Notamacropus eugenii: one gene and its partner. The protein of the gene in region 1 interacts with the protein of each later gene in a biochemical or structural test. Links are inferred from orthologs where the notes say so. Each region holds a gene or a part of one and is shown in the gene's direction. Other genes may lie near its edges.

Region 1 (7,399 bases):
AATTCGGTCTCAGATGTTTATTAGCTGTGTGACCCTGGAAAAATCACAATCTGTCTGACTCAATTTCCTAATCTGTAAAATGGGAGTAATAGCACTTACCTCTCAAGATTATGAGAATCAAATGAAATATTTGTAAAGCCTTTTCAAACCTATAAAGCATTATAGAAATGCTAGTTATTAATAGTAGTAATAGAAAAATTCCATGGAAGAAATTAGGACAGTGGGGGACCCTAGTTTGGATTCGGCCAAAGTGCAGTACTTGAGGATTTATGTGACCTTGAGGCCGAAGGTTCCCCACCCCTGAGTTGGTACTTTTCTGCCACTGCTTTGCTGTGCTTTTTAACTTTTTATGTATCTGTCTTGCTTCTCCCTCTAAATTATCAAGTAGTTTTCAATTGAATAAACACTTTTGTATGTATTCACTCCTGCTCCCAGAACATTGCTATACACAGAACAGGCACAATAATTAAGTAAATGCCTAGCTGGCTTCATCTGGAGGTATTTTATTACTCATTAACACTTCTAAAGAGGAGTCAGTTCACAGAATCATAGATCTAGAGCTAGAAGTGAACCACATCATCTAATTCAATCCCTTCAGAGAATTGAGGAGCAGAGGAGTTAAATGACTTGGGCAAGGTCACAAGGGATAGTGACAGAGACTGGATTTGAATTCAAGCCCCCAGGACTTCTTGAGAAAAATGAGATTTTTTTATTTCTGAACCAAGCAAAAAGATTTCTTTCAGCCTAAGTCTAACTACTTCCTTACTCGCAAACTTCCAGCAACACATTGTAGTCTCTGGGGTGAAATAAAATTTCTCAACCTAGTATTTAGGGCATTCCACAATCTAATTTCAACTTCAATCAACAAACATGTATGCTAATGAGCTAGGGATGCAAAGACAAAGTTGAAACAGTCTCTGCCCCAAGAAGCTTATATTCTACTTAGGAGATAACTAGAACATACACTGGTATAAACCAGACATGTACAAAACAGACACAAAGTAACCCTGGAAGAAAAGGTACCAGCAGCTGGGGAGGACCAGGAAAGGCCTCCTGAAGAAGACGGTGCTCCAGTTGAGTCTTGAAAGGAACCAGGGACTCCCAAAAGACAGAAGTGAGGAGGGAGAGCATGCCAGCCATGGGAAACAGCCAGTACAAAAGTATGGAAATAGGAAGTCATAGAAAGTAAAAAAGGGCCAGGATCTAGTGACATTTAAATGCTAAACAGAGCAGTTTCTATTTGATCAGAAAGGTAATTTAGTGTTTATCAAGTAGGGGCATAGTCAGATTTATGCTTTAGAAAAATAATTTTAGTTGCTTTGTGGAGAATGGTTGGAGTGGGGGGAAATTTAGGACAGAGAATAATTGGTTCAAGCTATTGCATTTTTTCAGGCAAAAGGTCAAATAGGGTAGTTGCTGTGTGAATGAAAAGAAGGGAGACATAGTAAAGAAATGCGGCAACAGAAACAATAAAATTTGGCAACTTTTCAGCCTTGTTCTTTATTACTTCCCCTTCACTCTGGTCCAGTTGGACTACCTGATGTTACCTATCTAAACACTGCACATAATACCACAAACATGCACTCCCTATTGACTTCTCTTCTTTCAAGGTTTACTCCAAGTGTCTCCTCTTTGAAGTCTTCCCTAAACCTTAATGTAATGAATGAATATTCTCTTCCTCCTCAACCTCCCACCTGCTTACATATTCTGCGTGAAGAATATGTAACCACTGAGGCAGTTAGGTGAAGTGGTGGAGTACTGGATTTGGAGTCAGATAGAACTGATTTCAATAATCAATGAACTCCCTCCTGACTTATTTCTTTGAATCCTCATCTTCTTTCAAGGCTTATACCATGTGTCTCCAGAAAGAACTGAATTCAAATCCTGTCTCAAACACTTACTAGCTGGGTGAACTTTAGGTAAGTTATTTTTCTAAGCCTGTCTCCTCACTGCAAACTGGAAATAAGCACACCTTATACTTCACACAGATGTGTTGAGGATCAAATGATATGACATACAAAGTACTTTACAAACTTTAAGCTAGGTGGCTCAATGGATAGAGCTAAAATGTGAAATCTGAGTTCAGATTTAGCCTCATGCACTTACTAGTCGTGTAACCCTGGGCAAGTAGTTAAACTACAACAATAGCACCTACCTCCTAGGGCTCCAGTGGGGATCAAATGAGATGCTACTTGAAAACCACCTAGCACAGTGCTTGACCCGTAGGATGCTCTCAATAAATGCTTGTTTCCCTTCCTTTCTACATGATATATCTTCAGTAGAAAGTAAACTCCTTGAAGACAGGAACACAGTAGGTGCTTAATAAATGGTTACTGCAATAAAGTTGGAGGACTACTTAGTTTAAAATACATATGCATTTCATTTAGCTGGGGCAAAACGATGAAATTGCTTGTTTCTAGGTTTGGCCCATGCTAATTTCTGTATTTCTTCTGGTTGCGTGATGCCACTCAAACTGAGAAGTTTTAAAATTTACAGTCAGTAGTGTGTATGTGAGTAACACACACACACACATATATATATATATATATATGTGTGTGTGTGTGTGTAATAGTATCCCGAAAGTTCAAAGTATTTTGGGACACTTAGTTTAGTATATATTATGAATTTAGCACAAAAACTGTATTTGTATACATATATGTACGTGTACATATATATATAAAATATACATACATATGTGTATATACATATACAATGACACACACATACACATGAATCGATATATCACCTATCTATGTAATAAAAGTTACCTATGTAATATTTAGTTCCTTGCCAACACAAACATGAATTTCTTATCCCATCTGCTTCCTCACAACTGGAAGTCTAAAGCCTTAATTCAAACAGAGAACTCTGTGGGGCAAGGCAGAGTATGTGATTGCTGGGTGTGTCACCATCATGCCCAGGACACTAGCTTACTCTCCATTGCTCTTTCCCTATATTCCCTGAAGGTCTTACATGGAATTTTTCCTTTGAGCACTCAAAGGGTACTACGGGCAGCCTCTTGGATTTATATCCACTCCAGCCTTTTATCTCTCCCTACCTCCTCTTGGGGGTTGTGGTTTCTCTCCCTTCTTTCCCTTCATTGTGACCCCCTTATTGGTCATTTCACTCAATCATAGTTATACTTAGCGTGTGCTTGTTTAATCTCCTGGTTTGGTTTGTGTCTTCTCACCCACAGTAACTTTTAGGATACCCACCCTGACCTTGATGACCCCGAGTGTCTTGCCTCTCTCCTCCCTGGACTCAGTTGGCACTGCATTCTGCATCCCACGTTGATCACCTGCCCCCCCAACCTATTCTGGCCCCTGAAGTGGACTCTTTGCCCCTGTTCAGCAGGAAGCAGCTACTGAAGACAACGACCTTCACCCCTTTTCCCCTGAAAGAATTCTCCTACCTAGTGGTAGAGTGGGGAAATGAGGTAGATAGAACAGTGCCCTAAGAGTTAAAATAATATTGACTTTGTGAAACCCTGGGTGCCCTAAAGTGTCCCCTTACCACAACTTCCCCTTATCCTGGACCATATAATTCCTTATCCCCACCCCTCATCCGGGGGAATGGGATTTCCTTATCGTGTCATTCATAGTCCTCACCTGGTGCTTTTATCTTGCAAGACCTCCCCTAGACCTACAGCCCCTACAAGGAAACCCTAAAATCATCCTATTTAAGTCTGGTCCTCTTCCTATACCATTGCCTTTATTTAGCTCCTTGCTAAGTCTTAGGCCCGCTGCTTCTGCATCAAATAAAGCTCCCAATGACTACAGAGAAGGTCTAAGCTAATTCATTCACATTTTGAGCCAGCTGTCCCGTGTCTCTTCAACTACTCCAAGCTCCCTACCCCTCGCCAGAGCCTCGTCTGTCACAGGCTAGCACTGTGAAGGTGACGGGGGAAGAAGCCTTCACACCCCCACGGTTCGGGCCTCAGTTTCCTCCTCTGTAAACAAGGGCTGTAGGACCACAGGATTTCTACGGCCCTTCCCCTGCGGGCTCCAAAGCCTAAGATCCTGAAAGGTTAAGGACCCACCTGGCCTGCCTGGACCCAGCTCAGTCAAACGACCGAGAAGAGCCCCTGGCGCTAGACCCCGTCCAAAAGGTCCTCCCGTAAACCCAAAGAGGATGCAGGCTCCAGGAACGCGACCAGCAGGGGCCCGGAAGAGCCGAGTGGACGGGGCGGGGCCGCCCCGCGAGGGTCACGTGGGAGATTACGCCAAGGGAAGGGCTCTTCGCGGACCCGCTCCCTCCTTCCCCCCTCCCACTTGCTTCTCACAAGACTCGGATCTCCAGCGTTTGATTGGTCAGCGTCGGGAGCACGTGGGCGGGGCGCGGCGGAGCGGGTTGGGCTAGGGCGTGGGGGTGGGGATGGGGACAGAACTGGGGCGGGGGGCGGGGGGAGGTGCCGGAGGGGGGTGGTTCGACTCGGGGCCGTTGGCTCCAGACAAATAAACATGGAGTCCATCTTCCACGAGAAAGTAAGTGTCCGAGGATCGCTAGGGCGTTCTTCCTGCCTTGGGCGGTGCGGGAGGTGAAGGGAGTCCTGGGTTCTCCAGAAAGCCAAGGCGGCCTCTCTTGCTGCCTCCACCCTCCCGTCGGGGCCTACCTAGCGTGGGGAGGGGGCACCCAGCGTGGGCAGCTGCTTCCTTCCGAGGGCACCCACTCATTCGCCTGCCCAAGGACCCTCCTCACCGACCTTCGGCCGCCGGGCTCCGAGGAGTCCGGGAAGGACCGGCGGGGCGTGGGTCAGAAGCTTCGGGGAGGGGCGGAAGAAGGGACTTGGAAGGGGATGGGGTCGTGTTCGTGGATGCCTTGGGCCCTGGATGTGGTAGCGTGCATTGGATCAGCTCTTCCCTAGCTAGCTATTGTTTGCTGTGATGATCTTTATTACAATTCCGCTTTTCCTCCCCGCTCCAAGCTCCAGTGTCCGCTGCTGGCAGGATGGGAGATCCCCAGACCTCCACCTCCCCACCTTGTAGGGTGGGTAAGTAGGCTGAGAAGCCTCGTCCAGAAAGCCCTCCCTCTCCTGCACTGAACTAATTCTTTAATTAGTTCAATACTTCAAGTCCTACCCATCTTTGAACTGGCAGAGCGATGTAGCAGAAAGACTCCTGGACTTCGGGGTCTGGAAGGCATTAGCTGTGTGGTCCTTTCAAAGCTGGTCACACCCCACTCCAACCCTAGTTTCATTGGGGATTTGTCTTCCCTTCCTTGAAGGCTTGCTTTTGAGGAAAGCATTTTTGAAAACTTGGTAGGTGCCATAAGATCCAATTCAAATACCACCTTCCCCCGACCTTTCCCTGAGCCCTCAGATGGCACTTTGTATTTTACTTCTTTGAGGTATTTATCGTGTAATGTTTTGTATCATCCCTATTTCTATTGATATTTCTTATCTCCTTGCTGTATTGCAAGCCTTCTAAGAGAAAAAAACACTAATTTCATTTTAAAAACTATTATCCCTGACAGTGTCCAGTGCAGAGTAGTTTTTTAGTCAATATTTGTATTATTGTATGTCATTAAAAGCCCCCAAGCCAGAAATCTTTTCTCCCCCCCCCTCCACTGAAATAATTAGCCCAGAAGAGGTTTTGGTGTGCGTGGTCTGGACCACACACATATTCATCTTTATAAGAAGTTAAGCTCAGCTTCAGTTTCTCATTAGATGAGTGCTACTCCTTAGCTGACATGAGATTGAACTGGGGCATCTCCAACCCTTAATTAGTTGCCCAAGACTTTTGTACATATGTTTGTTCCTGATTGTTTCTTCCTTTTGATTCTTAAATGACCACTTGAAAATAAGGGCAATTAAATGGTTGTGGTATGTGGAGAGACTTGTCTTCTCTCTTTATAATTATCAGGCCCATTGGGTGTGGGTGAAACTTTCCATAAACAGCTTTGGGCAAGTGTTGTTTTCTTATTTTATAGTAAATATCATTGTGTAGAAGGGAAAACTGGCAGGATTAGTTTGGAAAAGTGGAGTCTTTTATGTTATCCATTATATATTACTATGACATTATTTTGATGGCTCAGGTAGAGGGTCTTTTTTGTACTTTAAATGGTCAGTACTTTATTTAAACAATTTATTCACAGCTACCAAATAAAAATCCATCATAGTGGCATTATAATGGATTTGTTATAATAAGTCTGAAGTAGCTGATTTTTTAAAAAATAGAAAATTTTAGTTGGAAGATTTTTCAGAAAATTTTAAAGAAGATAATAGATTTTTCATTTTGATGATGTCAGTGGTATAGATAACCCTTGATTAGCATTATTGATTATTTGTTTTACTTGAAAAGGAAGTATAGTTGTCTGGCAGAGAGACATATAATGAGGCTTTATTTATGTATATTTCAATACTTCAAAAGATATATAATTCTATAATTATACATTCTCCTTCCATGATGTAGTTTGTGACCCTTCTACACATTGGTAGACTATTTGCTGAGTTTCTAAGATTCCAAAATTCACCAACATTCAGGTGCTGAGCCTCCCCAAACAGCTAAGCATTTCCTTGTTCAATAGACAGTCTGTTTCTTCTACTCAGAGTCTTTCTGGTTTTGTTGGTACCACAGGAAGAACTGAATTTGGTGCCAGAGCACCTGCGTTTGAATCTTGTTTCTGCCATTTAGTACTTACATGACTTTGAGAAAGTCATATAACCTCTTTGGGTCTCAGTTTCCTTATGTGTAAAATTAACAGATTGGAAAAGTTTACTTTCAAAATCCTTTCAAAATAAATTTATCATCCTCTGATCAGCCACTGCTTTCATTCAACTGATATAGTCTTCATGAATGGGGGGTTACCTCCATATCATGAGATAGTCATTGGTAATAGAACTTTATTGGCAGTTGCTTCTGTATAATACATCAGAAGTGTCAAATTCATGCTGGAAGGCTGCAGAATCAGATTTAAATGTAATTGAGAAAATTTAACAAAATGAATAAAAAGACAATACAACATAGATAATATTAATTTGTCACTATGCAGCTCCCAGAAATTGTTTCTGTTTGATTTCAATGCTATTGTAATACATGTCTTATATGTCTTTCTGAGTGCTTCATTTTAGAATACTTTAAATAATCTTTTACATGCTACTTCATGAAATTGCCAAATTACATTTTGGAAGGATGGAACCTGTAATTTCAGTGGTATAGGAAACTTCCTCTGCCAATGAAGATGGTCACCTCGTTTGCAATTTATGGTCTTCGAACATTGCTTGAGGAACTGAGAGATTAAGTGACTTCTCCAGGGTCACTGGTATTGTCAGAATGAGAACTTGAGTCCAAGTATGAGGTGACAAGGGCTTGTACCAATGTGTTGGCTGTGTCAGAGGAGAAAAGGGAGCATTTGTGAGAGACATGAGGGTAAGGATTTGAAGATGACACCTAGATTTTGA
Region 2 (7,155 bases), on another chromosome or scaffold:
TAGTCCAGGGTGACGGGAGGAGGGGTTTAGGAAGGGTCTTGAGAAGTCCAAGGAGGGAATCCGAGGAAGGTCTAAGGCTGGAAACAGCTGGAGGCTATCAGGAGATATCAGACAATGGAGGGTTTGGGTGGGAAGCGGGTGGGGCAATCCAGAGATCTTGATAGGGGCAGCATGGGAATGAATACGGATCTTGATGAGTTTCCAGAGACTGCCTGAACAAATGGGAAGATTAGATTTGAGTACGAAAGGCCTGATTAAGTGGGAAGATTCAAGGGGAGATCAAGGAGGCTCCCAGAGTCTGAACCCCATCACTTCCTTCATGTCATCTTCACCATTCTCCCCTCAAATACTTGGGAATGTCACCGACTCTATCATGAAACCTGTTACCAGGATGTAACTGAATGCCACCCACATGAGAAAGAGTTAAGCGGAAAACCAGATATGCTAGGACAGATTCTATCACTTCATTCACTCATTCATGCAACAAATATTTAGATAAAATATGATTAAAATATTGTCCCTGACTTTGTGGAGCTTATGATCTAAAAGGAGAAAGAATATACACAAATATGTGTTCATTATGTACTAACTAGTCTACAAAATAAAATATGATCAGGGCATAAGAGAAATACAAAATACAATAAAAGTTCTGAGACAAGAAAGATCATTTTGGGGGCAGCTAGGTGGCGGAGTGGATAGAGCATCGACGCTGAAGTCAGGAGGACCTGACTGAGTTCGTATCTGACCTCAGACACTTGCCACTTCCTAGCTCTGCGACCCTGGGCAAGTCACTTAACCTCAATTGCCTTGCAAAAAGAAAAAGATCATTTTTGACTGCAGGGACACAGAGCTGGAAGGAACCTTGTAAGATGATCTCAATTTGGGAGTCATTGACATAGAAGTCATGGCTGAAGCCAGTCTCATCATAGGATAGGCTCTTTTGAAGGCAGTTGAAGTGAAATCTCCAACCTTGATTTGTTTATAATTGGCTGGTATTACTTGATTGTTTTTTTTTCCCACACCCACTTAACAATAGATAGTTTCCTTTAGCTACAGACAAGAGTAGTAATTTATGGGCCCAAGAAATAAGGCTAATGTCTTAAATAAGGCTAATGTCTAAAATAAGGAGGATGTTCATAGGAGGAGGGGTGGAGAGGAGGGAGGAAAGAGGATAACTTGGGTTCAATATTCCAAGCCTGTTTAATAGTCAAAAGTCATGGTCAAATCTGACCTAGCAAAACAAACTGATGGGGAATCTTTCCCATAAAGTAGTTCTCTCTGGTTTTGTAAAGAGTATTTGTTCAGGACAAGGATTAACAGAGGTAGTAGAAAGCAGAAGTCTATTCATTCACAGATTTCCAGCTGGAAAGGACCTTAGAGGTCATCTAGTCCAACTTCATTACAGATGAAGAAATTTGAGTTTCAGAAGAGTGAGCTGATTTGCTTAAGGTCAGCTGAAAAGACTGGGTGTTTATAGTGCAGTAGGTCTCAATTAGTGGTTCACAAACCTAACTCCAAGATGTTCATGCTAAAAAATTCTTTAGCATTGCCTTAAGCAATAAATAATTGCTCAATTGTTTTCAAATAAAATTTTCCTCAATGACAAGCATGTGCATGTCTGAAGAATTTTGTTTGTTTCTACAGCAATTTGGGCACATCATGAGCTTTCCTGGGCAAAAGTTATCATTGTATTTACTGTAAACATTTAATTAATGTCTAAAATAATATTATGAGTGGTACATTAAATTACCCTAGGGGTTCACCATACATTTACTTTTGTTCTTGAAAGAAGTTCAGAGACTAACAAAAAAGAAAGCTGGGAATCATTGGTGAAGCAGAGAGAATACTGGTGTTGGAGTTAGGAAGAGCTGGGTCCAAATCTATCACTTCATCTCTTCAAGCCTCAGTTTCCTTACCTGTAAAAGGAGGACGTTGGACTACTTCAGTGGTGTCTAACTCAAACTTAAAGGAAGGTCACTAGCCATACATAAATATACTTGTGGTCTGCACCTTAATGCAGTTTTAAAATGTAAGGGTATTTATGTTTTATTGTATTTTAATTTCTTTTGCTAAATACTTCCCAATTGAATTTTAATATGATTCAGGCAGTATGTTTGACACATCTGGACTAGAGGACCTCAAAGGTCCTTCCCAGATCTAAATCTGTGATCTTGTGATATAGATAGTAAGGGTAAGAATCAGGATTTAAACCCAGGATTTCTGACTCAAAAGCCCGCACTCATTCCATAGCACCAAATATGTGGGACCATCACAAACAGTAGAACACTAGAGACAGAGAACACAAGAGCTAATAGAGGGCTAGACTTGGAATCAGGAAAACCTGGATTGAAATCCCACCTCAGACATTTATGGACTATGTGACCCTACGCAGATCACTAAACTCTGTGCCTGTTTCTTTATCTGTAAAATGGGAATAAAAATAGCATCTTCCTTACAAGGTCATTGGGAGACTCAGAAATAAGCTTATCGATGTAGAGGTGGGAGGGATCTTAGAGGCTCATTTTACAGATGAGGAAACTGAGGCTGAGAAAGATTAAATGACTTGCCCTGAGTCACACAAGTCAGTTTCTGATGTGGGATTTGAACACAAGTCAGTTTGCTGCCAAGGCCAGACCTGTATGAATCCACAATACTGACGCCTACCAGCAAACGTTTATGGGGTAGTGCATTCACATTCACTAGAGAGAGTTCAGCACTTGAAGGCAGGAGATGCAAGATTTAGCCCCAGCTCTCTCAGGAAATGGCAGTGTGACCTTGGACATGTCACATCATCTCTGGGATTTTGCTTTCCTTTTTTGTAAAATGTTATCAATCTTATCCTGGTTCCTTAAAAAAAGTATTTTATTTCTCAAATGAAAGCTGACAGAGCTGTTCAGTAGTACTGTCCGGCAAGAGGAAAACCTAGGTCTTCTTCCCTCCAAATCCATCACTCTTATCCATCAAGGAGATCTTATATTCAAAGCACTTTGCAAACCTTAAAGTAGGAGTTTAAATCTCATTTTGTGTCACGACCCCAGAGATGTGCTGTTAAATTTTTAAGAATAGACTGGGGGGGGGGGGAGTAAACATAATTTTAATCTGCATTAATATTTTCTCCATCACTTTCTTAAGCTTAGAAACCAGTCAATCAAGCCATGATTAGTAGACTTTCCCATTTCTGAAGTCTAAATGCTTATACTGAAAATTTAACAGGAGCCAGTTGGAGCTAGTTCCAGCATCATCCTTTGGACTCTTTTCTCAGAACAAAGTTGTTCAATGCACAAAATAAAATACATAGAATTACAAAGAAAACCAATTATGTTGATATATGCATACATTTATCATATATATTTATATATCATATTCATTTTAAAATTTATGCATGTATTTATGTATGTGTATACACACACATTCAAGTTCATGGATCACAATTGAAGAACCCCTGCCTGAGATACATATTATCTTAACAATAATAATAATAGTAGCACGCATTTACATAGTAACATTTTAAGGTGTGCAAAACGCTTTACAAATATTATCCCAATTTACCCTCACAATATCCCCGTGAGGTAAAGGTTAGTATTATTGAGAACTGAGGATGAACAAGAACTGAGACCGAAAGCAATTAAGTACTTTGCCCCAGATCACAAAGCCAACGGAATGTGAACTTGGTCTTCTTTTCTCCTGATCCAGAGCTCTAACTACTGCGTCATCTTCTCCATACTCCGTGGAGATAAGTGGGCCCCCTAAGTGCCTAGCCTCCTTGGGAGAGGTGGAAGGGAAGGCAGCAACTTCCCAGGGGATGGGGAGCAGGATCTGGGGGAGAAGAGGTGCCCTGTGCGGGCGCGTGTGCCCAGACTGCCCGCAGAGGGCAGCACATCCAGTGGAGCTGTCCTTCCACGGGGCTTGGCTCCTCCCCTGAAGTCTTTGGGCCCGGAGTCCCGCTGCAAAGCGGCGCAGAGTTAGGAGACAAAGCCACACCCAGCCTTCTGCGGCGGGTGAGCTGGTGGTGCCCTTCCCTCTCCGGTGAATCACCCCCATCCGCAAACAGGATAGCAGCACCAGCTCCAACCCCCTGGCGTGCCCCTGCTCCTCGCGCCTGCAGCCTCCCTCTGCTCCTGGGCAGCCCCAGCGCCTTCTGAGCCGCATTTCCTAGGCCGTGGCAGCAACCCAGGACCGGAGCCATGTCGGGCATCGCAGCCAAAGTGGTGAGAGACCGAGAGGCGGCGGCCGGCCTGGGCACTCACGACCTCGCGGTCAAATACCTCAACCAGGACTACGAGACACTTCTCAACGAATGCCTGGAGGAGGGTAAACTCTTTCAGGATCCTTCCTTCCCGGCGATTATATCTTCCCTGGGGTTCAAGGAACTGGGACCGCACTCGAGCAAAACTCAAGGCGTCGTCTGGAAGAGACCCACGGTAGGCAGTGTACTGGCAAGCTGTTCTGGGGTGGGATGGGGAAGCGATCCGAGCAGGGAGAGGGGACTGGAGTCCCTCCCTCCCTCAGCAAAGCCTGAATTAAAGAGTCAATGCCAGGAGGTCAGTCTGTATGCCAGTTTGTATCTCAAGTTGGTATTGCCCCCCCTATACCTAATCCAGGACTCTGTATACAGTAGGTAGTTATTAAATAGTTGTTGGATTGAACTGAAACGAAGTGAATCATCCATCCATATTAGAGTTAGTACTAGCCCTCGCTGTTAGCTGACACTTAACTAAAGCGCTGTTAGCTGTTCTGGGTAATGAGAAAGGTAGAAAGGGTGGTGCGGTATAGGCTACACACCCAGGAAAATAGAAGTAGAATCCAAGCGGAAGGAGACGGGAATGGTTCAGGAAAGAATCAGCTGCGCCCTTATAGAAAGCAGCCAACCAGAGTTCAGCTTTTCCGAACATCTGGCCTGCTTACTCTATTAAAGGAACTGAGGTTACTCAGTGCAAAGGACTTGTAGGAGGGTCCCTTAGGGGAGCCCGGATTCCAGGAGGCCTGGAACACATGTAGTCTTTCCTCCTCACACACAATACAGAGCAAGATTTTCCAGGGCAAGCCCGGCTGTCATCACAACTCGGCATCCACAGAGTCAACATTAATCAGGAGAAAGCTGGTAAAGACCGGGGATAGCTAGCTCCTCAGAGATCTGGGATACCCTGTTGTGAGTCAAAGTCTGAAGATAAAGGAAAAATGGACCATAGGGAAAAGCAGCTAAGAAGCAAATATTTGAGGAGCCATGTAACCTGGTGCATTGTAGAAAGAACTTGGCATGAGGACAGAGGAGAAACTGGATCTACTCCCATCTCCACCCCTAACTAGTCAGGTACATCAGTGTCTCTAGGCCTCAGTTTCCTCATCTGCAAAATTCATTCATTTCTATACAGAAAGTATTTTGTTTCTCCACTGAAAGACAGCTGAGCTATCTGGTAGTACTTTAACTGGAGGTAAAATCTGGGAAGGAAGAGATACTCCAGAGGACTCCTTTTCATGGTCACTCCCGCTTCCTCAGACACTCAGGCCTGAGGTTTCTCCTTATTACATACAGCCTCTTTTGTCAAGCCTCCCGTTTCACACACCCATCAACTTTCACAAGATCCAAGGCAGGCAGACAGATGAGCTGGTCCTTGGACATTTTCTGCCTTCTCAGTGGAAATGTCTGTGCATATTAGACAGGTGCACCTTGGGGGGGCCCAATCTCCTGTCCTTCCACATTTGAATTGTTCCTCCACAGTCTGTTTACCAGACCTGAGTGAGGAATTTGAGGATCTCTCTTTAAGGTCATTGGAATGATTGAAAAGGCGATTGTCATCTTACATTCTCTCATCTGTGCCTTTCCCTTGACCCACTTTCTCATTTTTGCTACAACATTTATGAATGAAACAGAGGTTAGCTGTTTATTCTGGCTACAGTGAATTCTCCCTGGCCTAATTTGGCCTGATCAGGAATTTCTTAGCTACATTTGTGGACTTCAGAAAGAAAGCCAAAGGCGTGAAAAAAGTTTTTGAAAATACGTGGAATAATCCTTAACAATAAGAGCCAAATCTACAACCAGTATGGGGCAATTGGGCTGTACCCCTAATGCTGACATGGGGAAGTAGAGAGTTAGAGGAGTTATGGAGAGAGGGTGATTTCTCCATCTACTCTAGAAAGGTTTCCAGTTCTAGCTATCCAACCAGTTCGCTTCCTCCCTTGGCCTCAAGGAGTCCACCTGTCCCCATGGGGTTCATTATGCCCTTTGTGCCCTTCTGGGGGGCACCTCCTCATCCAAACTCTGGATCTCCAATTAGCTACCTAACCTGTGGCCTGGAGATCAGTAGGGGATCAGCCACAAAGTAGTTGCTACTGACTGTACCAATGGCTATAGACTGTGCCTCATAGTAAACTCAACCCTAATGCTTCCTCAGTCACTGTTTTCCTCTGCCCTTACTTTGTGCTGTAACCTCTGAAGTCCTTCCTCTGTTGTGGTCTAGTGGTGAAGTCATTAGATTTAGAATCAGAGATCTGAATTCAAATTCTGCTTCTACTACTTACTATCTGTGTGACGTTGTGTGAATCACATAACTAGGCTTCAGTTTTCTCATCTGTGTAAAAAAAAACTAGGTGGTACCATGAATAAATAGAGTTCTGAGTCTGAAGTCAGGAAGACTTATCCTCCTGACTGCAGATCTGTTCTCAGACATTTATTAGCAAGTCACTTAATTCTGCTGGCCCCAGTTTCCTCATCTGTAAAAATGAGCTGGAGAAGGAAATGGCAAACCACTCCAGTATCTTTGCCAAGAAAACCCCAAATGGGGTCACAGAGAGTCAGACACAAGTGAAACCACTGAACAAAATGGAAAGGAAAGGAAAGGAAAGGAAAGGAAAGGAAAGGAAAGGAAAGGAAAGGAAAGGAAAGGAAAGGAAAGGAAAGGAAAGGAAAGGAAAGGAAAGGAAAGGAAAGGAAAGAAGGAAAAAAGGAAGGAAGAAAGGAGGGAAGGAGGGAGGAAGGAAGGAAGGAAGGAAGGAAGGAAGGAAGGAAGGAAGGAAGGAAGGAAGGAAGGAAGGAAGGAAGAGAGGGAGGGAGGAAGGAAGGAAGGAAGGAAGGAAGGAAGGAAGGAAGGAAGGAAGAAAAAGAAACGGTTATACTACATGACCTTCAAGGCCTCTTCCAGAGCTAACTCTAGAATC

What was found. The genes of interacting proteins can lie anywhere in the genome.
Region 2: of the proteins of ATXN3 (region 1) and CAPN2, one has a biochemical effect on the other in vitro, tested with the Homo sapiens proteins (2 studies listed by BioGRID). The link is inferred for Notamacropus eugenii from reciprocal best matches to the Homo sapiens genes ATXN3 and CAPN2.

Annotation. Positions count from the first base shown.
Region 1 is NC_092878.1:38,407,217-38,414,615, forward strand, and holds the start of ATXN3 (ataxin-3), read left to right. Parts: upstream 1-4,392; 5' UTR 4,393-4,460; coding exon 4,461-4,484; intron 4,485-7,399. UniProt on the Homo sapiens protein: Deubiquitinating enzyme involved in protein homeostasis maintenance, transcription, cytoskeleton regulation, myogenesis and degradation of misfolded chaperone substrates.
Region 2 is NC_092873.1:412,734,797-412,741,951, reverse strand, and holds the start of CAPN2 (calpain-2 catalytic subunit), read left to right. Parts: upstream 1-4,143; 5' UTR 4,144-4,184; coding exon 4,185-4,421; intron 4,422-7,155. UniProt on the Homo sapiens protein: Calcium-regulated non-lysosomal thiol-protease which catalyzes limited proteolysis of substrates involved in cytoskeletal remodeling and signal transduction. Proteolytically cleaves MYOC at 'Arg-226'.